Struthio camelus: one gene and its partners. The protein of the gene in region 1 purifies or fractionates together with the protein of each later gene. This does not show direct contact. Links are inferred from orthologs where the notes say so. Each region holds a gene or a part of one and is shown in the gene's direction. Other genes may lie near its edges.

Region 1 (7,860 bases):
CCAGCCCCACACCAGTCCCCTCAAACCCTTCCCCACCGACTCCCTTACCCCCTGCGCCCCCCAAGTACGTCCCGGCCGCTTCCTCCTACACTCCCCTCAGGGGCCCCCGGCCCCCCTCCCTCAAATCCCCTCACAACCCCCTCGCGGGCGCCGCCCCTTCCCCCCGCGGGCGCCCCCAAACCCCCTCACAGGCCCCCGGCCCTCCTCCTCCCTCCCCCGGGGCTGGTCCCTCCTTCGCCCCCCTGCCCCGATCCCACCTCCCGCCCCTCACCGGGATGAGCTCCCGCAGCGAGCGCCTCACGGGGATGGTCTCCAGTTCGCCCTCTTCCACCTCCATAGGCTCCGGCTCCGGGCCGCGGGGCTCCGCCGTTGTCGCCGTTGCCTCCGCCTTCACCGAGATCCGCAGGCCCCGCACAGCCGCCATGGCTCCGCCAGGCCCGCCCTCGGCCCGGCCAGCGAGGCGGTCCCGCCGCGGCGCAGAGCGCCGCCGCCCACAGCCACCACCGAGCCACAAGGCGGATAGAGCGCCACCCAAGGCTACGAGCGGGAGCGGCGCCGACGGCCCGCTCTGGTGCGCCTCAGCGCCATAGAGACGCGGTGAGAGGGCGGCTCCGCGGGTCCTCCAGCGTTACGGATCGGCAGAGGGCTAAAGCGGCCATTTTCCCCACAGACAGCTGCTCGCCGCGGCCCTGACCTCGGGGCGCTGAGGGAAGGGCGAAGGGAGGCAGGCGCGCCGCCTTCCTCCAGCCCTCAATGGCGTCGCTTGCAGCTGATACCCCTGAGTGGATTTTTCTGTTGTGAATTTGCTGAGATTTTGAATGCCTGCCCCGCCTTGGGCAGCACTGAACGTCTGAGTGTGAGGAGCAGGCCTTGGATCCGTGGGATCCTTTCACATGAGCCGCTGCGCCGCCATGTGCTCTCCTATGTCTGGAAAATTAGAGCAAAGCAGAAAAGTCGTAGGGAAAAGAATACATGCTGTACAGAGAAATACAGAATGAGATGGAGGGGATGGGTTGTAAGGTCCAGACCTTGTCAGCGCAGGCTCTGCTTTCTACAATGACTTTTATAATGATCTGACTCCTTAAAATGTTAGTGTGTTTTTTTTTTTTCTCCGCTCCCCTCTGTTCTATAGGAAGGTCCTTCTGGATTTCTACACATCTGATGAAAGAAATCTAATTTCCAGCTTAAAAGTTATTCATGGCAAGTCTCTAGCCTATTGTTCTTGGGCTGAGTTTGGGCTATTTTAACAGAAAAGTCCTAGCTCTTCTTGGCCTTCCTTTCACTGGGCTAAGTCACACTGTTTGGATCCATTATCATGAAACAAATTCTTCATTCCTCTAATTATCCTAATCTCTGTAGTTCAGCTATATCTTCCCTGGACACAGCAGACCAGAACTGTGTTTTAGCTGAGGGCTCGCTAGGGCTTTAGTCAATGGCATCAGCGCTTCCCCTCCGCGGCGAGACACCGCAGTTGATATATTCCACCGTGGCAGCTGCGTTTTGTCAGCTGCATCACATCTGCAGCTCACAGTCACTTTAAACTAACCTGCTCAGGTTACACATCCACCTTGGTTGTCACATCCAGCCAATTTCAGTAGAAATTCCTCATATTTCTTGGGCTGCTCCATTCCTCAATTTTGTACAATTTCTGACCAAAACCCTCAAAATTATCCCCTGTGATATGTCGCCTTTCCTTTGATTTGATAGTACTTCCCAGTAAATTTCAGTAGCCAATTTTGACTTTTCCAGCGTGGTGTGGAGAGATTTTGTAGCTGGCAACGTAAAGGCTCCTGCCCTTATACGTACTCCAGTGGGACCAATATTTTTTCTCACTACAAGTCACACCTTCCAGGCTTACTATTTTTAACAGTCTCTGTGTAGAAGTCCTTACACAACAGCTAATGTCAGCTGCACTCCTCAGCGTGCTATATTTGGTGCTGACATCATGTAGCTAGTATCTGGCAAGAACCACAGAAACATGATACTTCCAAACCAGATGTGAACAGTTATGGCAGAGACCAAACACACATACGTAACATGGACATGTGAGTAGTAAATAGGACATAAACAGCTGATGAAATTCTGGAATGAGTGCAAGAGGAAACACATCTCTGTGGCAGAAATGCTATTTCTCCAGAACATGGTCCACCAAAAGGTGGACCTCTTCCTCCTCTTAGTTTTCATTCTGTAAGTAGAAACAGTATTGGCATCTGTGATCTAGAGCAGATTTATGGTTAGGATGGGGTTATGTGACCCCAGGTTCTCTAGCATTGCAGTTATTAGAGCAGATGAAGCCTTCAGTTAGCCCAGGTATTTCCTTAATTTTATTTTAACATCCTTGAAAGCAAGAACATTTCTACTGATTAACTGTGGTTTTAGATCAGTTGCTGAAGTTTTAATGCTCCTTAGGAAAATTCATCTCTAGGCGGACTGGCAGGGACAGTGAAATCAAGTTTAGCTGCACTGAGAGAGGAAAACCACGCAGTTAAGGAGAGCTCGCACTGGTAGCATTTTTGCTCTCAGGTAGGTCAATGGAATCTTCTCTTGGTATCTTACAACTTCTTTCAGAATCTTGTTTAAATTTTTAACAGTGAATTCTTCAGAATTACAAACTGATCTAGTTTTATTCTTCTGAAACTGTGGCCAAGAACTCTGTTGTTCCTTCCCATTCATCTCAGGCTGCAATCCTCTGCCTTTGAAAGGCCAGCACAGGAATGCAGGTTTGGGCATAAGGGCTCCGCCTTTATCGTAGCTTTTGTTCAGAAAGGATGGGTCAATGGTAGTAAACCACTGCAGAGTGGAGGGCTTACATAAGTGCTACATACGGAAGGGAAGAGGGGAAGAGGAATTTGGGAAAGGTTACCTGGAGAAGCCCTGAGTAAGCAAAGGAAACGTGACAAATAATGAGGGTCAGAGAGTGACTCAGAGTTAGAAATCATCCTGGCACAAAAACGGCAAAAGGAGCTGCTTTCATCGGGAGTTTCACTCATTTCCCCATCACTGACCACCAGAGGGAACTCTTGCAATAAGATTCCCAACGGCTTGCAGTAGGGAAAGCCAAACCATGCATGTAAACCTCCTCCATCTCCTGTAGTTTCGTGGTTCAGCTCAAAACAGAGGGTGATGGGGTACAAGGGTGGGGACCGGGAAGGGAGATAAAGCAGCAGTTTGCGGGCCCTCAGTCAAAAGCGGTCTTTTTTACAGTGGTCTGGCAGGAGTCAGAAAAATGAAGAAGTTTGCCATTTTAAGAGTTTTTTGTTTTTCGTTTTTTTTTTTTTGGACTGTGAACCACTGGACAGAATGGACACTTTTTTGCTACAGTGATTTAACTCTCCTAGATTATTTGGCTCTCAACAAGAAACTGCGGCTGCAGCTTTCCAAATTTGTGACTAACTTGGGCATGGAACTGCCAAAGACAGGTAATTCTGCAGCTGGCTAGCAAACTCCACATGTCAGTAGGGGGAATTGAGCTCTGGGTTCCACATGGATGGTGACTGTCTCCTACCTACTGTCAATCTGGAGAGAGAACAGGATCAGCAGGGGAAGGATGTTCCTTTGTTAAACTATTGCCAAAGCGGATAGATATCCAGCACCTCGTGTCTTCTTATGGATTTGGTGAACAACAGTTTCCCACCTGTAAGACACAGGATATATTTTCTCGCTAGGATATTTTGAGGGTTAATATGATCCTAGTTACCTGATTTATGCCAAAGTCCCATCTGTAAGATAGTTACAAGGCTTCAAAGTGCCCTACAAGAAAGAAGAGGTTCAGTCAGCCAGGCTTGAGGACAGCACCATCACAGTTAAGGACAGCTGTACTCCAACGTGGTATTTATGCAAGTGCTGCCACATGGAGGCCACACAGTTGAAAAAGCACATTCCTTTCTGGAAAAAGCTCACAGAACTGAGCAGAGCTGGAAAAGAATTCAATAGACATCTATCCAGGCTCTACAGACATTCCTCTGGAACTTAAGAGAGACCTTGGAGAATAATCTAGAAATCTAAATTTGTGCATGCCCACATACACGTTTCTCTGTGGCAGGCCCCTGCAGTAACAGAGTCAGTGAACTGATCTGGGTAAAAATAACCTTTTTCTTTTGCAGGCCTGTTTTTAACAGCTCACTGGCCCAGTTCAGCACGTAGCCTCATGAAAACAGCTTGTGCTGGCACAACCCTTGGCTGGGGGGGAAGCTGAGGGCAGGAGCTACTGCTGCCGGTACACCCCCGGAAGAAAGGGCACATGGAGCTGCACCCTTTGCCGGCCCATCCTGAGCGCAGACAAGCCTGGCCTCACACGAATTACCAGAGGGAGCTGCGGGCCCCCGTAGCTGGGAAGCCATCAGGGAACTGCACAGGCAGGGGGCTATCCTGCAGCCTCGTAACGGGAGGAGCCGGCCGCAGAGGCAAGCCCCGGCTGCCCTCCCGCCTCCCCGGGGCCCTGCTCCCGCCGGCCCTGAGGGAGTCGGCGCCAAGCGGCTGGGAGAGCGGCGGCCGGGCGGCGAGGAGAGGCGAGCCCTGGCGGGGGTCGCTGCTGCGCTCGGGTACCCCGAGGGGGTCATCCCGGTGGCGAGCAGCCCTCGCCGGTGTCCGTACACCGACGCGGGCGAGCCGGGGTCGCCAGGCCCGCCCCGACCGCCGCCATGTCCCCAGTTCGCCTCAGAGCCCGACCCCCCCTCCCTACGGCGCATGCGCCTCCCCCTCCCCCTCCCGCTCCTGTCCCCGCGCGGAAAGATGACGCCACGCCTGCCCCGCGTCTCCCGCGTGCGGTCACATCCGGTAGGTGAGGTCAGGGCAGGGGCCGCCATTTTGGGTGGCAGGGCTGGGCTGGGCGCGGAGCGGGGCACGGCGGGCGGCGGCGGCAGCCCGCGGGGGGGAGGGGAGCGAGCGCGGCCTGCGGGCGGGCGGCCCCCATGGCCGGGCAGTTCGACTCCGAGGACCGGGCGAGCTGGTACTGGGGGCGGCTGAGCCGGGCCGAGGCGGTGTCGCTGCTGCAGGGGCAGCGCCACGGGACCTTCCTGGTGCGCGACTCGGGCACCATCCCCGGCGACTTCGTGCTCTCGGTGTCCGAGAGCTCCCGCGTCTCGCACTACATCGTGAACAGCCTGGGGCCGGCGGGCGGCCGGCGGGCCGGCGGCGAGGGCCCTGGGGCCCCGGGTGAGTGACCCCCAGGGCTGGCAGTGCCCCCCAGCCCCTGCCGTGCCGGGGAGGGCGGCCTCCCTCCCCCCGGCCTGCGCCTCCCCCTAGGGGCCCCGCGTCCCTCCCCAGCGCTGCTTCCAGCCGTGAAGCTCTTTGTAGAGGAATTAAGTCGCGTTTTGCCGCTGGGGCTGGTGGCCGAGCTGAGGCGTTTGTCCGCACCAGCCTTAAACGACCTGATAACGTAGTTAAGCTTAACACGGGGACTGTGCGCTCCTTGCAGCCCTCCTGAAAGATCCGATGGCTTTAGTGCTCGCCTGTGCTTTTGTTTTCATAAAACTGCTAGCGGTAATTGATAGACGGTGCATGCCATCTCTGGGGGCCTGGGGACCCTTCTGTGGATATGTCACCTGAAAGAGCTGATTTCTAGCGAGGTGCTTCTGCGTTAGAAGACAGACTTCGAGGCTTACTTTCAAGTTGTAAATCAAAGTGTTTGTTGGGTAGTTCAAGTAGTGGGAAATCCTGAGGAACATAAAGGCAATTTTTCCTTTAAATCAGATGCCAAGAGAGAAAAAAAAAACTTCACATCTTTTGAAAAGGAGGGTTGATATTGTTCCTCATCACCGTAAGATCTAATATGAAAGAAAAGTGTTTAAATGCAACACCTATAGAACAGAAGATACTATTTGTGTCAGAGGGAAAAATGGATCATTAGAGCAATTCTGAAAGTATAGACATAACTAAATGAATGAGAGTCCCCAGTGGTGCTTGATCCTTAGATGTATAAGTGAGAATGTTGAGTTAAAAGGTAGCAGTGTCCCTGCTGGGGGCATTACTGAATGCGTTACTAAAACTACCCAAGTTTCGATTTTAATGCTTACAAGATGATGTGGGCATATCATCTAGCATCTCAGGAAGGAGCTACTATAAAGTTTTGAAGTCTGGGAGACCTGCTACATGATAAGAGATCTGGCTAACTTATTTGCAGGAAAGTAAACTTAGCATATGGATTGCTACAGAGCCCACCACTTTCTGATGTAGGTATTTGTGTCTGGAATAATAGACCTGTATTGGGAAGATGCAGCAATATCTGCTGTAGGAGGATTTTTCGGTCTTTGCATGGACTTCAGCTGACTATGGAGGAGTCAACCTAAGAAGAAGCAAGCCTGTTGCCAGTAGGTTTGCACCATTATACAGTGATCTCCCCTGCTCAGGGGAACGTTTAAAATTGGCCAATTTGGAAAATCCTGAAGGCATTGCGTTATCCTAGGAACCTGTCATTGCTGCCAAGCGCACCCCAAACACGAAAAGCTTCACAAGGTAGAAGTTAAAGGTGGCTGAATTCAGCTGGAAGTAAAGTGGAAATCATTACCTCCGTGGGAAGTTAAATATTTTGCCAGAATACATGGTGAATTCCTCATTGCTTGATGTCGGTCAGGACAGAGATTTTTTGTTGTCATAGGTTTACGGAGGCTTGATGCAGGAATTACTGTGCAAAATGCAGGATTGGTGTTAGGTAGAACACAGGAAGTTACCAGGATACTCCTCTGTGGAATCCAGTCTAATAGGATTGTGGAGATGGTAGTGAAGAAGGACCCTGTGGAGTATGAGTGCCAGTCACTTTGCTGGGCTGCTGTCTTTTACAGAGCAACTCTTCTCTGGAAAAACCGTATTTTTCATGTAGTTAAGTGCATATTCTAGCTACTGTGATACTGCTTTAGTAAATAGCTGTTCCAACTTTTTTATCTTACACTACGTTCTTAACCTCAGTAATGTTTTGTGGTATTCGTTGGACTGGTTCATGTTATGAGTGTTTTTAAATTTATTGTGTTTTGGTGTTTTGTTTTCTTTTTAGTCACTAAATGTCCCATAGGTAGTTATTTTCTGTCTTAAGTGTTTGTCTGTGTTAGAAGGGTAGGTGCTATTGCAGCTGTGTAGGCTGTTGGCATAGTAGGGTTAATCTATAGCAAAAATCAGTACATCTTGGTTGTCCTTGTATTTTTATTTTTTTCCTGGATGTTATGAGTATAGCTGAGGCACCGCTCCTGCGCTACAGATATTTCTGTGCTGAAGTTTTAGTGATTTTAAATTGTGCCTTTGTGCTGAAGTTGCTGTCTTCTCACTCTGAAAGCAAAGAAACAATGCTGGCAGAATTAAAAAAAATAGATTTCCTTTCAGAAAAACGTAGGTGGAGGGGGGGATGTTCTGGAATGGGAGGGAGATGGAACCGTTGGTAGAAGATTCAAGAGGATTTCGTACTTGGATAGGGAAGGTAATGCAATAAAACAAGGTAAATGTTTGCAAATTGTCATATTTATTTATTTATTGTGATCAAGTTATTTTCATTATTGTCATAATTGTCTCTATAGTATAACTTTCTTAGCAACTGATTGTATTTGAAAAATGCACACCTCTCACTGAGAAATCTAAATATGCCAGATCAGGTTATTACAATGATTTCTGTTAGTCTCAGTTAAGCAGGTGTGTGATTCATGAGTGCTTGAAGTTTGCTGTGTGCAGATTATACCAGGAACGTAGCTTCAATACAGAATGAATGAGATGAGGAGCTTTGTCTTCCCTAATATAAAAAGCCTTAGAGTTTCACAAAAATGAAATATCTTCCATTTCTGAAGTATTAAAAAAAACAAAACCCTTATTTTCTTAAATCCAGCTTTTGCCTGATATGCTACAGTTTCTAACTTTGTGCAGTCAGTTTTTCAGCATGAG
Region 2 (7,411 bases), on another chromosome or scaffold:
CCTTCTGAGCTGCTTAGTTCCTGGATATCGGGTAGAGCAAGAGGTCTCCTCTGCTAGGCCTGCAGCTGCCCTGAAGCAACAGTTTCCCAGAGCCACGCTTAGTGGCAGCTTCCAAAACCACCCTTCCTGATGTAAGACTCTGTGGCTGACTGAAAGGAGCAGAGTCATAGCGAGGGAACTGAACTACAGGCAAGCCTACAGCTAGTTAAAGCAGCTACTCTAACAGCCTGCCTGGGTTCTGCTTTTCTCCCTCGTCCCAGCCCCATCTAGTCTGGCTGCTTTCACTCCTAGCCGCTCGCATGCAGAAGTGTGGTGTGGCCAAGCGATAGGGCATTCACTAACCTGGTAGCAAAGTTTTGATCAGTGCAGGGGCCGAGCTTTGGTGTCAGTTCAGACTGAGCTTTCTTAAAGATATTCCAGTCCTTTGCAGAGATGTTCCTGGAAGCACGGAGGACAGGGGAATGAGTGCTGAATATCCTGTTCTTGCGCATCTCTACAGGCAGTGCTGGCTGCCCCTGTCAGAAATGGGAAACGGGGACGTTCTCAAAAAGGAGGAGGCTCAGATTTGGGTTTTGCACCCCACCGGCATCAACTGAAAGCAAGAGCATTGCAAGGTGACACCCTTGTTGCTACCTACTTGTTCCTTACAGCTTTGCAATCATGACCCCGAGATCAGACTCCATGTGCCCTGGGCTGGGGGCACCAAGAGGTCTCTGGGCAGCGGTGGGGATGCATGCAACCACCAGGCTGAGGCACTGGGCACAGGCAGGGTGACTTTCTTGCCTCATCACAGGCTTTGGCTTTAGCAGTGCCCTGCTGGGTTTTAAAGGGCTCTATGTAAAAGGGCTGAAAAGAAGCTGATAAAAACAGGGAATGTGCCTAAACCTCTTGCCTCCCTTCGAGGAAACAGTCCAGATTGATCTAAAACATGGATTATAGGGAGCCATGTTCCAGGCCTGTATTGAGGGGTGCAGAGGGAGCTGTGAGGGGACACATGTCTGGAGAGGGGCAGGCCAAGGCAGGCCCTGGTGGGCTCTCAAGCTTCCATTGTGGACAGCGATGCTGGAGAAAGCAGTTAGCTTGTCTGCTTCCCAGCATCATCCTCTATGATATGGCTGCATCACTGTCTCCTTCCCTCCTTGGGGAACACCTCTTTGGGTGCAGACGTTCCCCCTAATTAGCTAGTTGGAGCTAATTTAAATTCAACATCATTCAGGTCCCCCTTCCTTTGTTCTGATATCTGACCGGCAGCTACTCCCAGCAGCGTCCTGCAGTCCAAACACAAGTGTATGTCTTCAGCCCCTGTCAGTCACTCCTGGTGGCATCCCCTCCTATCCCCCACTGGCAGTTGCTCAGTCAGGAGGGGTGCTGTCACTGACCGTAAGCCCCGGCTGCTCTTCCAGCCCTCAGAGGAGAGTATGGCAAAGGGCTGCTGTGCCCCTCCAGCTTGTCCTCCTCTCCCTCTGGCAGCAGCCCTGGGCATCCCAAATGTCCCCATCCTGCCCATGCACGTCATACACCACAGACAGCCTGCAAGCCACCACCACACTGGCTGCAGCCTTTCATTTCTGCTGTGATGACAGCAAGAGCGATCAGCCTCAGCTTTGCCTCTCTCGGTGTAAGGGCAGGTCGTCCTGCTGCCAGGCTGCCTGCATCTCCCCTTGCCACCAAGCTTTCTCCTTCCCCTTGTGCTTTGACCCCTCTGTTATTAAGTCCCTCAGCAGCTCCTAGCTTTTAACTCCATGCACTTTCCTGCAATAGCCTGCTCCATAGTGAATGCCAGGAAGGCTGCAATCCTCCCTCCAGGTCCTTAGGCACCCTGCCTGTAGCAACGCACATGTTTATATCCAGTAACCAGCAGCACCTGCACCTGATTGCACTTTGGCTGCCTCTGCTGCCCTCCATGGATGCTGGGCCACGAATCCAGAGGTCTGGGACTGCAACTGGTAAGCGAACAACATCTATTGCTCTCAGTCACGTTCAACTGATAGGTGGGATTTTTCCCATCCTGCCTTAGATGCTGGTTTAATTTTGCCATGTTCGGTGAAGCAACAGCTCCCCAGACAGCCATAGCGATAGTTGCAACTTGTTAAGTTGCTTCACAAGTGAAACCGCACACTCCCATACAGCACACAGAGTGTCTGCAGTTAGGCAGAGAACAAGTGGCCAGTGAGGAACCTGGAGTGCCTTGTCCACATCGACAAACCCAGGGCCCCCCCAGGCATGGGGGGCTCATGGTCCATGCTGGACTGGGCTGGGCATGGCAGGGTCCTAGCCCCGCTGTGGAAAATGGCTGTGTCAGAAGGGAAGCCTTGAATTTGTGTAAAAAGCCAACCAAGCAACCCTAGGCTTTCACCAACAGCCCAAGTCATGACCACTTAGGCAATACTCGGTCCTCAGATGGAAGACAGCATTTCCTTCCTGTCCAGGTCCTCAGTGTCTTTAAAAAGGGATTTTGAAGTGGGCATAAAGGCATTGAAAGGCAGGAGCAAGAAGGCTAAATACGGGGGGGGGGGGGGGGGGGGGGCTGAGTGCTGATAGCTCAGAGTCACAGGGTGTCCTGTGGCCTTACCGAACATTTGAACCAACTGCGAATACAGCGCCTGAAATCTTACGTTATCCGATGCTCTTTTGTGGGAGTGGAAGAGATATTGTAGGCCATTCACTGGTACTCAGGGGGTCTCAGAACACAGCCCTGACACCATCTGACCATCACCTCCAAAGAGAGGGGCTGGAAAGCAGAGCGCTGGTGCGATTTTACACCCAGCGTTATGCATATTCAGGAGCTCCTGAAGCATAATGCTTCAGGATTTAAGCTCTGACAGACAGATTTTTCACCATAAGGTAATGAGTACAGCATCTTCCCCGTCTATCAGATGCTGAGACTGAGTGTTCCTGAATCTGCAGGCAGCCTGGCAGGCCAAAATAATAGCTCTGAGATGTGAAATTTCCCTCCTTTCATCCCTCTTCCAGCATGTTCAAAGCAGAAGTCTGACTCCTTCAGACAGGAGTACCTGTGTAGAGGAAAAATGCCCGAGGCAGGGCTGAGGGGTAAAGATAGCTCTTTCTGAGAGGCTAAATACATTACCTGCCAAAGTACTGCTTAGCTCCTCAAGAACGTCTCCTGTCCCCAGAGTGCTTCACAAACATTAATTAGCCAAGCCTCCCAACACGCATGCCATTCCTGATAGATGTTTGTCTAACCAGTCCTTGAGACGAAGGAAGACTCCGCAGTCTCTCCGAAGCACTCTGTGTGGGTACTTCACCCTCCTCCCCACTAGAAAGCTGGTCCTAAGCCTTCCTTTCAGTGATCATACATCTTTCCTATCCCTCTTGCTCTCTGTGCTCCCTAACAGCACCTAACTATTGCCTCTTCCGGCCCTTGGGCCCCCGCACCTTGCGAAACAGAGCAAAAACTTCTCCTCTCCAGCATCATCCCTCCCTCCATCCTGCCTATCGGACCCCACTGACCACTGTGGACTTTGTGGTGCTTTCCGCCAAGAACCAAGCTCACTTTTCGCCCTTACAGCTGTTCTTGCGCTGCTTTAACAGGGTGTTCATTTACCTGTGATCTCTGTCCACATGCGAGATGACTGGACGCGTCAGAGACAGAAGTCCCCGGGCAGGCGTCGCACCGCCTCACCGCCGGCTACGTCTCCGCGTGCTCGAAGCCACCGGGGCAAGGAAGGCTTGTGAGGACATGGGCTGCCTCGGGGACGTTAGTAACGATCCCTGCGAACTGCCGCTCGCCGGCAGAGGGGCGGAGGGGAGGCAGGCGCCCCTCAGCGCCTCACAGGGCTGCGGAGCGCGGCCCTCACCGTCGCTCCCTTCCCGTCTCTCCTCCCCGGCGCCGCGGCCGCTTCGGGCAGCGCTGCCGGCGCGGGCGAGCGGTGTTTGAGCGGTTTCACCTCAGCGCCCGAGCCCGTCCTCTCGCGGCGGGGGCTCGGCTCGGCCCGGCCCGCGCGGCCGTTAACGGCTGCCCGCCCGCAGGGGGCGCGCGCAGGGGATGGGAGGGGGGGGAGGCGGGCGGCGGAGCGCGACCACGCGTCGCCGCGGCGCATGCGCGGGGCGGGGCGGGGCGGAGGGGGGGGGACGCCGCCGCCGCCGCCGCCGCCGCGCCTGCGCCGTGGCCGCCAGCCGTGCGGGCGAGGAAGGGGCGCGCGGAGCGCAGAGCGGCGGCGCTGCTCCCCCGCGGCCGACCCCGCCCCTCGCGGCCCGCCGGCCGCGCCGCGTGACCCCGCCGCCCTCCTCCCCCCCTCTCCCTTCCCCCCCCCCCCCCGCCGCGGGGGCGACCGCCGAGAGCCGGGCGGAGGGGAATGCGGCAGCCGCCTCCCCCCCCCGCCGCTGGTGGCCTGCCGGCGGCGGCCGCGGCGGCGGCGGCCGCGGCGGTGGTGGTGGTGGTGGGGGGGCGCCGCCGCCGCGCCTCGCTCTGAGGAGCCCGCGCCGCCGGGGGGGGGCCGCCGCCGCCGCCGCCGCCATGCAGGCGCAGCCGCTCGCCTACGAGTTCTTCAGCGAGGAGAACGCGCCCAAGTGGCGGGGGCTGCTGGTGCCCGCCCTGAAGAAGGTGAGCGGGGGCGGCGGGGGGGGGCTCGCCGGGCCGCGCCGGCGGCGGCCTGGGAGGGGAGCGGCGCGGCGAGGCGAGGCCGCCCCGGGCGCGGCGCCTGGGCGGCCGAGCCGGCGGAGCCGCCTGGCGGGGCCTGGTGCCGCCGCCGCCGCCGCCAGGGCTCTGCGCGCTCCGGAAGCGCCTTCCCTCGCCGCGCCGGCCGGTGCCCGCCGAGCATCGCCGGGCCGGGCGCCTCGTCCCCTAGCGCGGGTTTACCGGTGAGACGGCGAGTTGGGGAGGGGAAATCCTCCTGAGAGGATTTTTGGTTTAATCAGTGTACGGGTTAAATGGCTTTTTTTTCGTTAAAGCCTGTCTCGGTGTACGTGCTTCCCGCTGAGGAGGCGTCGTGGGAGCGGGCTAGGGAGCCCTGCTCCCTCGGGAGGGTGGTGAAGGTGATGGCTGCGGCGTGGAAAGAGTTGATCGGGAGGAGAGGAAAAAATCGTCGGGGCTCCTTTTCCGCCTCTGCCGCCAGAGTTCAGAAAGTAGAAGGCTTAAGATTAAGCTTCAGACGCTCCGGCTCGAACCGGCCTCAGATCGCTGGACTCGGTCAACGCTTTTTAGTCATACGCAGCAGCGTTTTACGAGTCTGTTTGGTTATGGTGATTAACTTCGACTCCTGCGCGCCCAGGGCTAGCTGAAGCGTTGGGTTCCCCAGCGCGGACTGGAAGTCTCGAGTGTTGCTGTTGTACCCGTTCAGTATTTCTTCCCAATTTCCTCTTGCGATGTGTTGCCTCACGTTTTTCTGGGCATGCTCTTTGAGATCTCCTGCACTGTGTGGTTTCATCCAGTTCTTGGAAGTCCTCTTACTTGTCTCATCCGTAGGCTAAGCTGTCAAATGTCTTATCCCTGATCATTAGTCACTTTTTTGAAACTAAACTTCTGGGCTGACCGTATGACCCAGGCAAACCCTGCTTCTTATGGCGCTTTTAAGCGCTTGGGCAGCCAGCCGGCGGAAGCTTGGTTGGAACCTGGAGCTACCGAGGTCTGAACCCCTGAGAGCTTGCTTTTGTGGCGGGTGGGTTATTCCCCCACCCAGAGGTTCATCAAGTTTGGAATGAAGCTCAGTGCTAAATGCTGGAGGAAGAGAGCGAGGATCCAAAGGCAAATATGAGTTAAGACTTTGGAATTACTTGCTACATGTGAAGCACTAGTTTTCATCCCAGTGGACAAACCATTCGTGAAGCCGCCCTGGATTGAAGATCCTCACCGAAGGAGCTGGATGAACGCTTTGGGGAAAAGGAGACAAGGAATTCTGGAGTCGGAAGTCAACAATCAGAGAAGGCCAACGATGACCAGTTAGGAAGGATGACAAACCGGCCAAGCAAGGTATGGTGGTCTTGATTTCACTGTGTTATGCTCTGTTTCTTGTTGTGTGCAGAGGGATGGCAGGAGTGATGTGGAGTTACTACTGAAGACTCTTCTACACTCAAACTTGCAACTGTGTGGCAGATGTTAACTCTTCTAACCTCAGCTCTTCATGAGGTCACCACCTGTTTCTTATCTGCTCCCAGGCTGTAGTCCAGTGTGCTCCAGAATCATAGTCCTCTTTGCTTACTGTTCCTGTCCCTGCAAATGTAGAAATGAAGCATCTGTCCATATTGCCATCTACCTTGCTGAACAGCTGGATACTCTAGTTACTCGATACTTAAATGGCAGATGAAAACATTAAAGCTAATGGAAAAGCCAAACAGAGTATTTTACGAGCTTGCGTGGGTACACGTGGTCGTAGCTAGAGTGTTTAATCCTGACGGGCCCTGTAAAGTTATGAACATAATTGGCAGGTAAAGCCATCAAAAATACAACATGCTTGCTTTGACTATCTTCTTTATCATTGAATTGCTCAGAAAACAGAGATGATATTGCAGCTTTGCAACCAGTGGGCTTGAGACATTGACCCTTTGCTGTGCTATAGGCCGAGCGTATAGCTAGACGTCAGTGTGTGCAGCTGGTAAAAAAGAGAACGTGGCAGCATATGCCAGCAGGGTCAAAGGGCAGAACTAGCCTGGAGGGAAACATGGTGCCTTGTGCCTTTTTCTGCTAAGTTGCTAGGGTAAGCTGTCGCAGTCAGAGTCAGATTAGCTGAAGCTCAGGAGCATCCCGTGGTTACTAGTGGAGAGCTTTTTCCTCATGACTCCCAGTTAGCTGGCCAGATCCTGATACTCGGTCTCAGGTAGTGACAGCAAGTAGCTTTCTGAACTCTCCCTTAAAGCCAGTTAGATCTGCAAACGGGGTTGTGAAGCTTTCCTGTGTATTTGGAAATGAGACTTGACAATTTGGAAAGGCCTGTCTTTGTGATCAAAGTGGTATCTCTGATTAGGAGAGCAGCATTTTGATTTAATGTTGCCAAAGTATGTACACCAGGATGGAGTGTTCCCAGCCACTGGGGAGAACTACCACATGTGGACTGAATCGTTAAACTGCCATTACCCTTTTGTAACTTTGAGTAGGCTTGTTGTGTTGAGTCTAAATTATAGCCCCAGAATCAATTGCTTACAAGCCGCGTGTTGTTAAACCATTGAAAATATGTATTTTTCCCAAGGAGTTGTTCTGATTCCATGTTTTTATGAAACAACACAAAACAGAATATGTTGCAAGAACAAATCCCTTCCTACATCAGTGAATTTTAGGAAAGTATGCCTTGTCTTTCATTAGATATTGACCTTAACAATAGGCTCTGTAATGCACTGTGTTTGCATGGAACAGCTGCATTCACAAAAAGCAGCTCTTGTACCATTCAGATCATAATGTAATCCCTTTTCTCCAGTTCTCCTTCAGATGCTGTCAAGATAGACTCCAGTGCACTCAATT
Region 3 (7,653 bases), on another chromosome or scaffold:
CAAATAAGACGAGAATTTTCCTTATCGCTTTGTCCTTCACGTTTTATAGTAGTTTAATATATATTACCCTTTCTCCCCACCCAGACATGTTTTTTGCAGGTTAGCGTTGTGCTTAATTTGCTGTAATCAGTAGGAAACTGGATGATCTGTCTTGCCCTTCTCTGGCCATTCCTTATTCTACTGTGTAGAAATACATGCAGGATTTGATATGTGGGTGCTCTGTGCATTTATGTGGTCGCATAATTATGCATTTCTGTTCTGTTCCATTCCTAATAGCTGCTAGCACTTTGCCTTGATAGCTGTTGAGGTCTGAGGTGGTATTTCGAAAAAAAATTGTCCATAATGATTTCAGTATCACTTTCCTGAGAGACAGCAGCTAATCTTGGGGCCCTTTTTTGTTTTCCTCCATGGATTAGTCTACACATACTGATACTGCATTTCATCTACCTTTTTATTTCCTAGGCAGTTGTCACTGAAACCCTTGCAGTCAATTTTAGGGTCTTTTAGATATTAGATCTAGATTTTAGATTTGAATGTTCCTCTTATGCTTTAGTTATGCACTTAACTCTACCAGTACTCTGGCAGACTTCCTGGTTCTGATGTAACTTATGTCCTTAGGAAGTTGCTTCTCCTTTGTTTGTTTCATAGTTAATTCATCATTTGTGTTCCTCTTTAATTAGAGGATGCTTTATTTACTTCTAGCAGCTTCCTTTACTCTGTTCTTTATTCTTGGCTTTTTCGTCCACTTTTCTTGATGGACTGCAGAGAACTCAAATCCACCCAAAATTAGGTTCATTCAGCGTTTTGAGTGTTTCATGCATTCCTCTGGCTGCTGCTTTTTAATGGTTTAATGCTTTTTTCACTCTTTTCCTGGAGTTTAATAGTTGCATGCTGAAAGATTAAAGCTTGAATACTCTGGAAAATGTTGAATGGAGTATGTTATGGTCAGTATCAGAAGGGGTTTTTTTGTACCTAGGTACTATGTACTGTTCAGCTGGAGATCACACAATAAGATTTAATGCTGATGTGAGAATCAATCACTTATGTTATTTTATGGCTTTAACCCGTGCATGATGTCACTGAGGAAACTGGTAAACGTTAGATGGGAGGACTAGTCTCTCTCATACTGTTTTCTACTTTTTTTTAGTCCCTAACACCTCTAAATGTAACACAGGCACTATAACCCCCCCCCCCCCCCGCCACAGCTGAATTGTCAAAGGCAGAAGTCGAGGCACCACTACAGAGATTCACTCTGCTAGACATCCTGTCACAGCTACAGCAATTGTTTAAGTTATTTTGAGCTGTTCATGTACAGTAGAAAATGAAGTACTACATGGCTGGCCAGCTGTACATGCTCTGGGAAAGATTTCAAAAGCCTAGATCATAGCAGAGATCATTCAGGCAATATTATTGATACTGACTCCTACAAAAACTCCCTTCTATGACAGATCCATACTACAGCAATTACCAGCTAGTTTTTAAAAACATTAATTATAATTTCTTTACAAATAGTTCCTAGGCTATGGCCCAACAGAAATTTGTGACTAAGCACAATGAGGCAGGCATGTACTTATCAATGATGTGAAGCTGCTGGAATGAGACATCTGCAACAGTCTTCCAGAAAACCCCAACAAACTGCAGCAGGTTCAAATCCTGTTGCAGGATTTGTGTTGTGAGGCCTTAGGTGTTTGTTTGCTAAGCAACTTCAATACAACCAGAGGCTCTGTTCTAGTTGTTTCCTGAGGTTCTGGACATGCACATGACTTCACTGTTAGTGTTAGCTTTTTAAATATTGCTTAGAGTGTTGGAATGCATTTCTCATTTAAAAAAATTTTTTTCAAACCTTTTTTTCCCCCTCTTTCTCCACAGGCTGATGAAGATCCTATCATGGGATTCCACCAGATATTTCTATTAAAGAACATCAATGATGCCTGGGTTTGCACCAATGACATGTTCAGGCTAGCACTGCACAACTTTGGCTGAGCTGGAAACCCCGAGGCACCCATGCTTTTTTCTTCTCTCTTCTTTCTGATATTATTCACACTCACGGAACATTCCAAATATCATACACAAACCTGCAGCACTGCAGAGCGTGAGCAAGCAAGACCTGAGACCTGCCCTTCTGCCGAGTTTACATTGTCACTAGATGAGTTCCTTGTGCATGATGTTTGGAAGTTACTTAGCTGCATTTGACAAGAGAAATTTGTGTTGTACCAGCATGCCTCGGAAAGAATTTATAATGCAAAGGGTTGCTGTTTATGTACTGACAAGATGCTTTATAACCCAAAGAAATGAAAGAACAGCAGCCTGTACAGCCCAGATGTTGATTTGTTCGGATGTTTTGATGCTACATTACACAATAAAACCATGAGATTTTCTTAACAGTTTAAATTGTTTTTAGCAGTTGGATATTGAGTATATGGTACTACTTGAATTAGGTGGACACAGGGTATCCAACCTCATTGGGAAATGTTTACAAACACTTAAGACTTTCACTGGGGAAGGCTGTTCAGGTACGCCCTTGGCCATACAACTGCTTTCTCCCTCCTTCTCAGCAGCTATTGCAATGGTGGCTTCTGGCTCAGTTTTTAACATTCTGCTTGACCTGTTAGATCTTGGCTGCTGTTAGGCTTTTGCCTTTGCAAAATACAAGATACTACACAAAGATTACAGTCATGGCAGCCTGTGTTTTATCTTCATGACATTTATTATGTTAACCCTCAAAGCTAAACAAGCCAGTTCTATCTTTTTTGTAGGTAGACACAGCCTGATACTTGCCTCCAGATGTCTGAAGTACTTAGACAATCTAGTATCCTTGAATTTGCATCCAGCCCAAATGCCCTTTGGCAGCTTTATGCTCTATTATCCTTTCAGCATTCCTTCACTATAATTTGAACTAGTTGATAGTACTGCATTTGCTGTGCAGTGTGGATGTGGGGTTTTTTTCCCCTCCAACATCATTGACTGTCCTGTATCACCCTGAAGGTGGCAGCATTTCACTAGTGAATGGATTTATTAAATACTTAACTCTTTCTGGAATAAGAAATACCACATGAGCAGAATCATGTTTGGTTTACCTTCATAGCTGATTAAGCCATTAGGCCCAGACTTTTAGGAGCTTAGCATGCCTGGCTGAGGCCAGGCTTTCAAAGTATATTGAACTTGGCATTTCCCTTAGACTTTACAAGAAAGCTGGGGCTGCAGTGTGGTCAAGCTGATCAGTTCTCAAATCTGGTTGCTTTGATGTTGAAATAGGAATGGAGCTTTCTTGAAAGTTGATCTTAGGGCCTGCCTGTTTGGTATCACAACATTTCCATATGTTCCCTTTGTGCTGACTGATTTGTTTCAAATGCAGTACTGTGTCCCTGTTGCTGTTTCTGTGCTATTGAAATAGCATTCAAAATTTATCACTTGGAGAGACTATTTTAGTAGAAGGAGGCATTTTGCATGGTCAGTGCTAGGCAAAGATCTTTCTGTTGTAGACTACAGCTCTAAATGAAGTCTGGCTTATGAACCTTGCCTTGCAGGAAGATCTTGTCCACTATGTGAAAATAGTCCTTTGGTGAGTTCAAAGAGCTAAGAGAGAGGTTTAGTTTCCAGGAATGCTACATGTTGCCAGTGTTAGTTTAACAGCAAATCTAAAATGAAAATTCTTTAAACCCTTAAAACTTCTTTGAAGTTATCCCATGCAGTTGTAACTGGCTATAGGGGGAGGAAGTGGGCCATAATAATACTTTTCCACAATAGTACTTTTTTTTTCCCCTCCTTTCTCCACGGAGTCATTCATTCCTGGTTCCTTACCTGGAGGAAACAAATGCCAGTGTTTCTGAATCAGTATTGCTTAATGCTTTCAGATCTGCAGGTCACTTTTGAGGCCTGTGATATGTGAACAGGTTTGCTGCCTCTTAACTGAATGCTTCTTTCTTGTACCCTTGTCTCGGTGCAAGTGTTAGACTGAGCCCTGAACAGTCATGTTCCAAGTTAGGGGGCTTCTTGGAGAGGTGGAGATAGCTGCCTGTAGTTGGAGAAAGGGAGCATTACATGTGATGGGTTTTTTTTTCCCCCAAATGACCTGTCTCACCCCTTTCAGAGCGAAACTTCTGGAACCCTATCATGGTATTGCATGCAGTTTGGTTGGAATTTCATACTGGCTTTGAAACTAGTGCTATTCATAGCCACATTAAAAATATGTCTTAAGAAAACTCTGAATGTGGTTCTTGAAGGCAACAGGTAATCTACTTTGCAGGGAGCTATGTGAGGATAGGGAAAGGAGGAACATTTTCCTCTTCAGAAGAAGGGGATGACTTGCTTCTCTTCTCTCCTACTTAATATCTGCCTTTTAATCGCCTGAAGAAAGCGAGGCCCAGCCCTGCTCCTCCAGCTCCTCCAGGTGAGAGGAGCAAGGGTGAAGCCTGGCCCGGAGTCACGAGTGTCGGGGTGGGGGGGTACCTGGGGCCCCTGGCGGCAGCTCCCCGGCCCCTGCGCGGCCGGGTCGGGCACCTGTCAGAGCGGGGACGAAGGGAACTCGCTTCAGCCCCGCCCGCTGGAGCAGCGCCTGGGGGCCGCCGGCGGCCCTGGCCCGCGCTGTCTCCCCAGGCGGCAGCAGCCCCGGGGCGGGGCTGCTCTGCCCCTGCCGCGCCCGGAACGCGCCGGCCCGGCGGAGGTTTCCGCCCGGTGCTTCAGCAGCGGGACCGGAGGCGGAAGTGGGGGCGGCGGGCTGGGGTAGGTAGGGGTAGCGCGGCGGCGGTTGCGCGGGCTGTGGCGACAGGAACCGGGCTGGCCCCATGGCCTCCTCCTCTAGCATCGACATCGAGGACGCGACCCAGCACTTGCGGGATATCCTCAAGCTGGATCGGCCGGGAGGTGAGGGGACCGGGGCCCGAGGGGGCGCGGGGAGGCCGCTGCCGGTGGGCCCGGTCGCCGCTGTCGCCGCCGTGGCGGTGCCGGCCGCAGGTGTCAGGAACCGTGCTATCCTGCCCCAGACCTGCACCACAAACCTCTGCTCAGCCACTTGGCCCCGTTGGGGGGGGGGGGGAGGGAAGCACCTGTTCGCGGCCCACAGTGCGCTGTAGCTTTGCCGTCGTTGTTGCTCAGGGCCCTCCGTCTCGAGGCCGGGCCCTACCCGTAATTTGGGCCTCGAGCCCCACGCGACCGGAGCAGCACTGCCGTATGGTGGCCGCTGCCTGCCCGCCTTGCGCTCACTGCTGGGGCACTAGTGGCATCATTCTCTGTAGCTCGGGGTGGCTGGCTCCATCCCTCTGAGGTAAGAGCGAGGGTGGTCAGGGAGTCCCACTTGCCCTGAATCTTTTGCCAAGGAGCACAGACTTTAGTGGCAAAGTTTGTACCAGCTGGGTAAGGAGAGGACCCCAGTGACTGGTAGCTCAAATAAAATCCAGAGCAGGCCCTCGCTTACAAGAGACAGCATCTGTTGCTGAACAGGGCCTGGAAGCCGTGTGGACGCAAAGCTCACTTTTTCTAGTGAGCTCTAGTGATTTCTGAATTCTCTTTTCTAAGAGGTGTCGTTGTCTCTGAGTAGGTCAGCACAGTTCAATTCTCCACTCAAGTCTCTCTCCTTTGTTAAAAAAGTTTTGAGGTCTTTGAAGTTTTCTTACTGGACTGAGTGGATGGGGCTATTTGGTCTCTCTGAGATTGGCACTGTCCTCACCCTTTTCAGTCCCTTTTTCATTTGAATGTAAAATGGGCTTCGTGTCATAAACATCTCTCTAAAAGCAGTGGTGAATCTTCTCCCTTTGCTTTGAGCGATTATACTTCTCTGCTCTGAGTTCAGTGGATCAGTCAGTGTCTTTCTACCCATGAGAAATATCTGTAGTAGACGGCAATGGTCTTAGCAGTCAGCTGTATAAAATGTGTTCCAACTCCCTTTTAGCATAGTATCTCTCTCTCAACCCCCCAACATAGCTTTTGGACCTTCTGGACTGTTTCAGTCTAACCTGGTAGGGTAGTGAGCTGAAGAAGATTGTTCCTAGATGTTTTGCAGAAGCATAGTGTATGGATAGAGAACAGAAATTATGCCCTCTTCCTTTTCCCTCATTGAGAGCATAAAGAAGAGCTTCATTTTTTAAGTGTCCTGAGAGACAACACCCAGTCTGTCAGTACAAATACACTAATGCCAAGGCAACTACTGTATGTGCTGTCTTTTGCTTGGTCAAAACGATGAGAGGTTGGATGTAGGATTGTTGTGAGGGAAGTGGAGGCACATGGGGTGACAGATGCAAATCTGTCGTAAGCCAGGGTTTGTTAGTTTTGGTGTCCATAGAGAAACTTCTAATTAGTTGAAGTAGTTTCTCTTATTTTTGGAACACTTAGATTCCCCAGGATTTTAATACTAATAGTGTAAAAATACACTTCTCCTTTATAGTGCAAGGCTTTGTACTTGAAAGATTGAAAGGAGAACTCAATGCTGTGATGGGGAGTGTTTGTTTCATGAGCAATTCATGAACTGGAAGGATGTGTCGTAACTGGGAAATGGTTGAAGTTGTTCTCTCAAGGTGACTTGACTTCCCCCTGAAGCAGCTTCTCTTGCTGTTAGAAGCAAAGGAATTGGTCATTGAGAATGGCTTATATCTTTTCATTTTTCTTCTTTGAAATTGATTCCTGTCCTTTGCATCTCATTTTCTTTATACCTTCTCTGTCAACTCCAGCGCATGAGAAAGTAGTTAGGAGGAAAAGGAGTGAGTGGACTGCGAGTCAAGCAGTAACGCGCCTGTATTTGTGCTCAGCAGGAAGTGTTGCCTGTGTAGCAGCAGAGACTTTAAAGAGCTGGACAAAATGAAGAGCAAGAGTACTTGTTTGTTAACTGAAAGGCTCTGAAAGGCCTATGAACACAACAAAGGGAAAGGGAAATTGAGGGATTGATTCATCAAAGCTTTTGAATAGAAGCAGTGCCATGAATTGCATGTGAAGGGCTAGTCTTGTCTGGCATAACAGCTGCTGCTGTCAAGATCCTCTCCAGTTCTAGTTTCTGTTATTCGTAGCATTTACAAACTAAAATACCCCACAAAGAATAGTGTAGCTGCTTTCCAAGCCTCTGAACAGTAAGAAAGTTTTGCCTTGCAGTTATGAGCAGTATTATGTTATTCTAGGTGCTCTCCGAGCACGTGACGAGATGCTCCCTGCTCCAAAGAGTTTGCAGCTATTGTAACACTTTCTTTGTTCTGCTGTTTTTGGTGGTTGTGAAAATGCAGTTCCTCACCTGTACCCCATCTCTCTTGATAGAGGTTTTACTTGATTTCAGTGTATATCATTCAGAACTTCAGTAGCTCTTGCCTTTTTTTGGTGTCATTCCCTCAAGAAGGGAAACTACAAGATTAAGCTATTTGTCTCCCAGCTGAAGCATGACTGCTCTTCTGAGCTGTAGATAGGGTGTTGATGCTAGTGCAGGAGAGTCCCTCCTGGGGGTTCTGGGCAGAATCCTTTAATCCATGCTGAAATCTCCATTGATACTAGGTGTTACATGGATTCACCCAACTCACGTGACATTTGTTGGGGAAGTATTCTTTTTAATACAAAATAGTGTTACCAGGTGTAAGTTATGGTGGGAGCAGAAAGCGTTCTGTATCTTGCCTAAAAGGTAATGATTATGACTGGCTCTTCTTTCCCTTTGATGGCCAACGTTAGGGTGGCCAACATTTG
Region 4 (7,941 bases), on another chromosome or scaffold:
AGATATACTGCCACTTAAGGTCCAAACCATTTCTAGAGGTGACAAATATTTTGAAGTGGCAATTAAAGAAAACTTCATTGAGAATTTCTGCACAAACAATCCCTCAGATATCACAGTATAATTAAAGACATGGAGTTATCTTTTCATATTTGAATACACCAACAGAATAAAAGCAGACTTTGTCCAGCAATGCAGTAAATTGACAAGAAATCCTCTGTGTTCTGCACTAGAGGAAGAAAAAAGTATGGAAAAAGTACTCAGAAATTGAAGTCCATCAGTCTTAAGTCTCCTAAATTCAATTAATAACTGACACTTTCACCATACTCATTCTCTTGACTATATACTTCACATGTATTGCTGTCATCAGTAACAACTAAGTCACTCAGACTTTCAGCTAGGGCAATTCTTCTCATTTTCATACCATAACAACTCTGAGCTATAAGCGAAGGCTGTCAGCTATCCCTCTTATTCTCCCAACCACAATGCCCAAAAGGCATATTCCAAGGTCTTACATTGTTCTTACTGTTTCTTCAGGTAAAGAGGAATCTGAGTCACAAGAATTCCAGAAATAGTGAAGTAAGTATAAGGATTTGCTTTGCTGTTCATCGTATGCCACATAAGATGTACAGCCCAAAAAAACGAAATCAGTTAGCCAAAGTCAGCTAATGCCCTAGTCTCCTGGGAAGGAAAGCAGAATCGTTTGTTTCTAGGGTCAACATCTTTAACAAGTCACTTTGAAGACAACCTAGTAAAGCTCCCATTTAATATTTTCACTATTAATAAAGATCTGCGTCTGCCTTTTGAGAGAACGTCAAGGAACAAGGAAGATTTCCTAATACACTTAGAAACACTCAGTCATTCCACAGTAATTGGTTTTGTTCCCTTCTATCACAGCATGAAAATTCCTCCCAGCTAAAAAACAGTTATTCAAATCTGGCTCTACCAGCAATTCACCAAAAGCTGCAGTTACCAAATTGTTCTTTAGTAGCCTTTCAGAAACAGAATGGCAGTTCCAGGTTTGTCCCTAAGAGACAGGTATTAATACCACAACTACAGAAAAGAGTATTACAAGATCAGTCCATTTAACATATCTCGCTGAAGGTGCATATAAAAACTCAGCTCCAGTTGTTTTGCACCCATAATTCTATATAGGAACAGTATCAGACAACACACAGTAAAAAGTAATAGCTGCCGCGTGACCCATAGCTGCACTACTGACCTCACTGGAGCAACCACACCATTGTTCATGGCACAAGCCAGTTCTGTAGACAGATAACGATACAAGGCCAACATTGCAGATCTTCCCAATGAAGGCTAACCTACACTGCTAATAAAAAACTTTAGTTACTGCTTACACTGGATATAGTGGATACCAACTAGACTTGGCAGCTTTCAAGAAACAAGTCCGCTGGATTAAAAAAAATAATGTCCTGAAAACAATCTGCTCTTAAATTCATACTCAGTGAACACTTAGCAGCAAATTATTGTTAACTACCACCCTTCATCTCTCAAAAAGAATTGAACTTTTAACAGTTTCCAGGAACACAAGAAATTCCCTCTCTCTTTCTAGCAAAAGTTATGAAAGTAAAATAAGGAAGCTTAAAGGAACGTTGAAAGCAACTAGTTTTGGGCAAGCCCTAATGCCAACCAAATTACAGCCAAGAAGCAGGAAGAACATTGCACTAGGGTACATGAACAACTGGCAAAGAAAAAACCCACAAGACACCCTTTCCTCATTCACCTACACTCCACAGAAAAGGACATATAGGTTCCCTTGAGTTATCCCTCTCTCACGCAGATCATCAGAAGAGTAACTATGTTATTCCCATTACTGTAAGTCCAGATTCTTCACCTGCACTGTAGTATCTTGTGCAGTACCAGAGTTTCTCATGGCATATCCCACACCATGCGGTTCTCCAACAAACAGCTCTGTGACCTTTTCTGTAACGTAAGTGGGAGTGCTTCACCTTTTCAGTCGTAGTCCTGAGGGACCGGGGCAGGGGAGAGAAGTGCACCAGGAATTCAGAAACCTAAGTAAGTTTTAGTTAAGCATGCTCCAGACTCGTCTGCAGCCTTTGGTCCAGTCAGCAGCAAACCTGAGAAAGTCTCAAACACATACTGTGGAAAGCTTGAGTTTGCTTTCCTAGGCGTGAAGGTGTATCTTGCTTATCAGGCTAGCTTTGATACTACAGTGACCCTTTATTTCAAGGCATTTCTTTACACAAGCACTTAAAAGAAAGTATCCAAAGTTAAGCTGAACATATTAGTATGCAATTGTCTTAACTCCTATCCTCTCATACCAGGAATAACTTCATGGTGTCGGTACAGAGAAAACTACAGCTCACAGTCACTGCTTTCACTCAGAAGTCTAGGAGCACCAAGGAAATCAGTAAGTCTTGTCTGATGGCTGCTTAGAGAACTGACATAGAAAGCCTGGGCTTACCATGGGACAATGCCCTGCAAGAACAGAAGATGGAAGAAAATAAGACTCTGTCCCTTCTCATTTGCTTTCCTGCAAAGTACTAGAATTTGTGATAAAATAGAGTCACCACCTAACAGTCAAATACATACAGAAGAATTGAACTCTGTTCTTAGGTCCTAAAGAAACATCCCTGCAGAAATAATCATTCTCCTCTCCCTTTTCTCAGCTATTAGGAAGAGGGGCGCTTGTCAAGCTACTACCTAGGGGCCCCCATTATGAGCAACAAAAGGAAACTAAATATTTAACTTACAACCAGGACAGTGGGGTTAGATCACTTACTCTTCAGTTTTTCTATTTTGAGAACTGTTTGTATTTTTACAAAACCTAACTTAAGAAATTTAGGACTAATCTGAATGTTCCACCTTAGTCACAGTTTGTAAGCCTAGATCTACTTAGGAATAGGAATTTCAAGTTCTGTTTCCAGATCTGACAGACCATCTGTGGACAAAAAAAAAAAAAAAAAAAAAACAATTACCTTCCCTCAGTTCCTTGAGGAAAAAAAAAAAAGTAGTATTTGCCAGCATCTAAGCCACTGCTGTCATTCTAGAAATGCAAAGAACCCAGGCCCTTCTAAGAAATGCATAATGTAGATGTATTAGAAAAAGGTAAAACGGCATTTCGCTACTATCTTTAAATAGGTAATTTGTATGGCACTATGCGCATGGCCTAGATTTTAAAAAATCATGAAAATAAAGTATTTGTTTTCAACAGCTGGTCAGGTTTCTACTTTTATGAAATTAAGAAAGAACATTTCAAAATAACATAGGTAAACTTGCTAGTGCACAGTTCCTTCCAAATCCTTATGCCCAGTTCTGCCATTGACTTCTCATATAGCTTTAGCCAAGCTTAGTACACCTACACAAGTCACTTCCCACAGAAAAGAAAGGGATTTTCAAAGATCTACCATGAGTTCACCTGCTAAAAGAGGTATTAACTGTAAACCAACGAAAAAGTTTCCTCTCCAGCAGCACTGTCACTAATATGATACCTGCCTACTATTTGGTTAGACGGGAATAGTCTTAACAAGTTTTGAAACTTAAGTGCTTTAGAAAGCAAAAGCTCCCTTTCTCTGCCAACAGGATTTTTTTTCCTACAGAGGAAATAAGAGAATCTTTTTGTCCTTTCTTCCCTCTTTTTCCTGGATGCCATTAAGTAACACGAAAGCACACTAATCTTTCTCATTCACAAGCTGATTCTGAGGGTCTTTCCTTTGACTATCTCCAATAACTAGCTCTGCATCCACTCCTAGCTCTCTCCTAAGGCACACCACCACAGTACTGTGAAACCTCCCACCATTCACCCTGCTCCAGGGAGCGGGACCAGGCCAGGTTCACTCTCTGCTGGCCTTTCAGAGGATTTGAATGAATGGTGCATCGCAAGACACTCCAGTACATTCAGATTCCGGGGTCAGGTGGTTTTTTTTCTTTTTTTATTTTTTTTTTTTGCAACCTCGGTAAGATATTTAGGCTCTTCAGAAACAGGCTGAAAATCTAGCAAAGAAGGGTCAGAAAACCATACTATAATAAACCACCTGCCTGAGAGGGAACGTTACTCGGATATGGCAAAATAATAAATACATAAAACATAAGGGGTCACCAAATACCATCCTTGCCTCTCGTCGCTCCGGGGGAAACAGGGAGGAGGGCTATCAGGGAGAAGGGGGAGGCCCAGGGCCCAGAGCCCCTCGCAGCTCTTCCCCTCACCCAGCGCGACCTCCGGCGGGTCCCTCACAGCCCCCTCGCCGCGGGGCTGGGGGGGGGGAGGGGGGCGGTAGCGAAGCGGGCCAGGCCCGGCTGCCGGGGTACACCGGCCCCGGAGCCGCCCGCAGCCCGAGCCACCCCGCGGGGCCCTTCCCCGCCCGGGGAGAGGAAAAGGGCCTGGGGCCGCGGCCCTCCCTACTGACCTGCCGCAGGGCCGAGGGGTCCCGGCGCCGCGCGCTGCCCCCAGCCCGCGCAGCCGCCGCACGCCTCCCTCACACACGCTCGGCCGCCGCACCGCTCCCCGACCCCGCGCGGATCTCTCCGCCCACGCCGCCCGCCCCCGCCCGGCGAAGCCTCGCAGGGGACGCTACGGCGGCGCCGCCGCCGGCAGCCGCGGCCTCCTGCTCGCGGGCCGAACCGGTGCCGCAGGCTGGTGGGGGGAAGGGGAGGGAAGCGGCCGCAACCCGCGCCGGGACTATTTTCTCCCCGCAGGCGGAAGCGCACTATTGCTGTGCGCTTTTTAAAAGGCCCGGCGGTGGGGCCGTGGGCGCGGGGCCTGCTGGGAGCTGTAGTCTTTCTTTCCCGCCGCCGGCCTCCGCGGCTTCCCCCGGGGCGCATCTGGCAGGCGGCGGGCTCGGCGTGCCACGCCCCCTCGCCGCCCTCCCAGCCAATCGCCGCACGGCGGGTTCTGGTGAGCGCGTGGAGGGGAGGGGAGGGGGGGGTTAGGCGCGCGCGGGGGGCGGTGCTCGGAGTCGGTGGTTGCGCGCGGGCGAGGCAGGCGCAGCCCCGTCCCGCCGGTCGGTTCCTCCGGCGGCCGCGGGAGCCGGCACTGACGGAGCCTCCTCGGCGCCGCCGCCTCCCTCCCCGCCGCAGCCCGGCCGCGGGAGGCGCCGTGGGGCCGGGGAGCCCCAGCCAGGTACGGGGTGGGCGCGGCCCTGGCCCTGGGGTGGGGGGCGGCGGCCCCGCTCCCGCGCGTCCCTGAGGAGAGGGGGGAGGGGCGGCGGCGGCTCGGGTTCCCTCAGCGCGGCGGCGGCCCGGTCCGGCCCGGGTCGGCTCGGCTCCGCGGAGCGGGACCGGACCGGACGGGACGGGACGGGACGGGGAGAGGCGCCGCCGAGGGGCCGCGCGGCCCGACACTCTCCCCAGGCGGCGCCGTGAGCCCGGGCCGGGCCGCTTGTTGCTGCGGCGGAGGGTCCGGCCGGCGCCGACGGCCGCGCCGCCCCCGCGGGGCCCGAGCGCCGCCCTCGCCCCGCCGCGGCTCGGGCTGGCGGCTGGCAGCGGCCTCGGCGCGGCTCAAGTTTTGCGGCCGGGTCCTGCGGCGGGGCGCGGGCCCGTGCGCCGCTTCGGCCGGCGCGTCTGGCGGGGCCGGTAGGTGCGGGCGTAGCCGCGGTCCCGGCTCCTGTCGGCTTTGCGGTGCCGCCTCTCCTGTTGCGGGACTTGCAGGTTGGTCAGTCCGGTTGTCTGGTTTTATCGCTGGTGCGGGTGGGACGAGGCAGGAAGGGTCGGGGTCTGCCTCGCGACCGTGAGTGAGAAGAAGGGAATACAGGGCACTGATTAGTTATTTGCCCAGCAGCTGATACCAGGCACGGCATGGCCAGGCTGCTCTTAGATGCGGGTGAGGGAGAGCGTTGCCTGGAGGGTCTCTGAAGGCGAATTTAACGGGGTCTCTCCCCAGAAAAAACTGTTTCTATCTACTTCAGGTTTGTGCCATTTCGTTTTCTAGAGCTCGGCTTTCATTCTTCTTTTTTTCACTTCATAAAGGGCTCTGAAGTTTCTCCACTTACTCTTGGCGGTTTAAACCCTGTCTGATGTCTGCTAAAGCACTTTATTCTTGTATACGCAGGGAAAAAAATATTACACAAGATATATGGACAGGAAGGAAAGGACTTGCAGCTGTTCTAAGAGCCAAGACTTGATGGAATTCCAGTAATTAAGTTCTATAGTTACAAACTTGTATAAAATTACCAGCTCAACAGCCACCTTTGTTACAAATCAGATGCATTTAGTTCTGTGTGACTCTTGGGTGACTTACAACCTCCCCTAGACAGTTTGATTCCACTAGTATCACAGAGCAGGAAATATTTGCGGATGTTTTATTTGCTCAGTTTGACTAGTTAGAGCTCTTAATCTAATTTCATACTGACTTAAAAAGTCTTGTCTGTAAAGTAGCTATGACTTATCCAGATGAAGCATCTTCCTGGCAAAACTACTGCTCTGGTGTGTTTTCAGGAAAACCTCATTTTGTCCTCTAAAATGCAGAAGTATGCAAGAAGTGAATTACCCGTTTTCCATGAGTAACTTTCCATGATTAAACTTATGTATTCACTTCATGATAGATTTACCTTATTGTTAAAATATCTCATGTAGGTAACGCTATTCACTGACTTCTGAAATGACTTACTTGCCTCGTTCTGGGTGACTTTAATGCCTCCTCCGTGTGTGGATGGCACAGTGGCAGCCCGGGTGTCATTTGTGAGGTTGAACAGGAGGCACCAGCTGCAAAGGAGCGGGGAGCCAGCAAGCTTTGCTGCCTGGCTTGGCTGGTGCTGGGCACATTCGCCCAGCTGCACCCCCTTGGAAACAAGCAATTGATATGAGAGCGAGCTTCATTCATGGACGCAGGGCTTGGATTGCCTTGTGTTTTAGAACATACATAGATATAAGCAAGTAAACAGATATGCAGTTATTTTGAAAAATGGACGTTTCCCCTTTTTAGCTAAGTCTTGTGGTTACTTAAGTAAAATGGAGAGTGCAAAATACCATTCCAATGTCTTAGGTAACTTATGTTTCTGACTTTCCAGCTCTTTTTAAAAAGTCTATTTACAAACATATATTTACCAAAATGCATATTATTTTGTATGCACTTACCAAATAAATGAATTGGCTGGAATTGATCATTTAAAGATAAATAAGGGGGGATGCTGTTTGGACAAATGGCTTCAGCGGGAGTGGGTTCTTGCCTAGTCAGGGTAGTCAAATCTTTGAGAAATCTATTGTAACTTATTGTTTAGGGTCACAGATGTTAGTAATTGCTGTTAAGGTTCTCTATTGTGCTAGGAAAAAGCTTACTATCAAAATAGCAAGCTGTGACATGTTTTCCTCTTCTCCACCTTGTTTCCTGAATTTAAGCTCCTACGTCTCTACTGTCCTTTTCCTTTTTCCTGTGTAGTTTTTGCTGTTAGGCTTTCCTCCTTCCTTCCTCCTTGGGATGAGTTGCTCCTCTCATCCCAATCTGGAATTAAACCCTTCCACTCCTCCTGGTTGCCCTTTTTTCTTTTTTCCTTTCTCTAAAGGGATCCTTTCTGGTCATTGCTTTGTTCATTCTAATTGCTTTCTGAGAGATTGACTTTCAAATGTTGTTAACTTGATAGTCCTGTCTCTTTTTTGAATGAATAGCTGTGGATCTTTTTCTCCCCAGCTCTTGAAAAGGGAGCTCAAACAATGTAAAGAGAATTCTCCGTATGGATCTGAGATGAGGCCTGTGTCCTGCCGGCTTCCACATAGTTCCCACTTCCCGTGTGGCGGCAGCTCCTGCTGGAATCCGGCCGAGCTGCTCCCTCCCCTGTAGTCAGTGTATCATAGCCCATATTCGGGTAAGGGCAGACCATCAAAATGCAAATGACCTGGGCATAATAACGAGATAGTGTTTCACTTGTGAAAAGCATTGATAACGTGAACATTATGAGACTACCTGATGTGAGAAGAGAGAGTGAAGAAAACACCTGGCATGGGAAACTGAAAATGAAGCTTTCTCGTCTT

The links.
Region 2: the proteins of CRK (region 1) and SOS1 purify together in Homo sapiens (affinity purification with mass spectrometry; 6 studies listed by BioGRID and IntAct, with this or other methods). This does not show direct contact. The link is inferred for Struthio camelus from reciprocal best matches to the Homo sapiens genes CRK and SOS1.
Region 3: the proteins of CRK (region 1) and EDC4 purify together in Homo sapiens (affinity purification with mass spectrometry; 3 studies listed by BioGRID and IntAct, with this or other methods). This does not show direct contact. The link is inferred for Struthio camelus from reciprocal best matches to the Homo sapiens genes CRK and EDC4.
Region 4: the proteins of CRK (region 1) and PEAK1 purify together in Homo sapiens (affinity purification with mass spectrometry; 4 studies listed by BioGRID and IntAct, with this or other methods). This does not show direct contact. The link is inferred for Struthio camelus from reciprocal best matches to the Homo sapiens genes CRK and PEAK1.

What each region holds. Positions count from the first base shown.
Region 1 is NC_090957.1:15,834,169-15,842,028, forward strand, and holds the start of CRK (adapter molecule crk), read left to right. Parts: upstream 1-4,853; 5' UTR 4,854-4,910; coding exon 4,911-5,154; intron 5,155-7,860. Other genes in the region: NCBP3 (nuclear cap-binding protein subunit 3), read right to left, coding at 272-424. UniProt on the Homo sapiens protein: Involved in cell branching and adhesion mediated by BCAR1-CRK-RAPGEF1 signaling and activation of RAP1.
Region 2 is NC_090944.1:139,621,240-139,628,650, forward strand, and holds the start of SOS1 (son of sevenless homolog 1), read left to right. Parts: upstream 1-4,411; 5' UTR 4,412-4,477; coding exon 4,478-4,564; intron 4,565-4,924; exon of another isoform or gene 4,925-5,908; coding exon of another isoform or gene 5,909-5,929; intron 5,930-7,367; exon of another isoform or gene 7,368-7,411.
Region 3 is NC_090951.1:24,306,680-24,314,332, forward strand, and holds the start of EDC4 (enhancer of mRNA-decapping protein 4), read left to right. Parts: upstream 1-4,644; 5' UTR 4,645-4,784; coding exon 4,785-4,863; intron 4,864-7,653. Other genes in the region: NUTF2 (nuclear transport factor 2), read left to right, coding at 1,870-1,983. UniProt on the Homo sapiens protein: In the process of mRNA degradation, seems to play a role in mRNA decapping. Component of a complex containing DCP2 and DCP1A which functions in decapping of ARE-containing mRNAs. Promotes complex formation between DCP1A and DCP2.
Region 4 is NC_090953.1:22,562,754-22,570,694, reverse strand, and holds the start of PEAK1 (inactive tyrosine-protein kinase PEAK1), read left to right. Parts: upstream 1-4,930; 5' UTR 4,931-5,098; intron 5,099-5,443; exon of another isoform or gene 5,444-5,625; intron 5,626-5,865; exon of another isoform or gene 5,866-5,882; intron 5,883-7,941. UniProt on the Homo sapiens protein: Probable catalytically inactive kinase. Scaffolding protein that regulates the cytoskeleton to control cell spreading and migration by modulating focal adhesion dynamics. Acts as a scaffold for mediating EGFR signaling.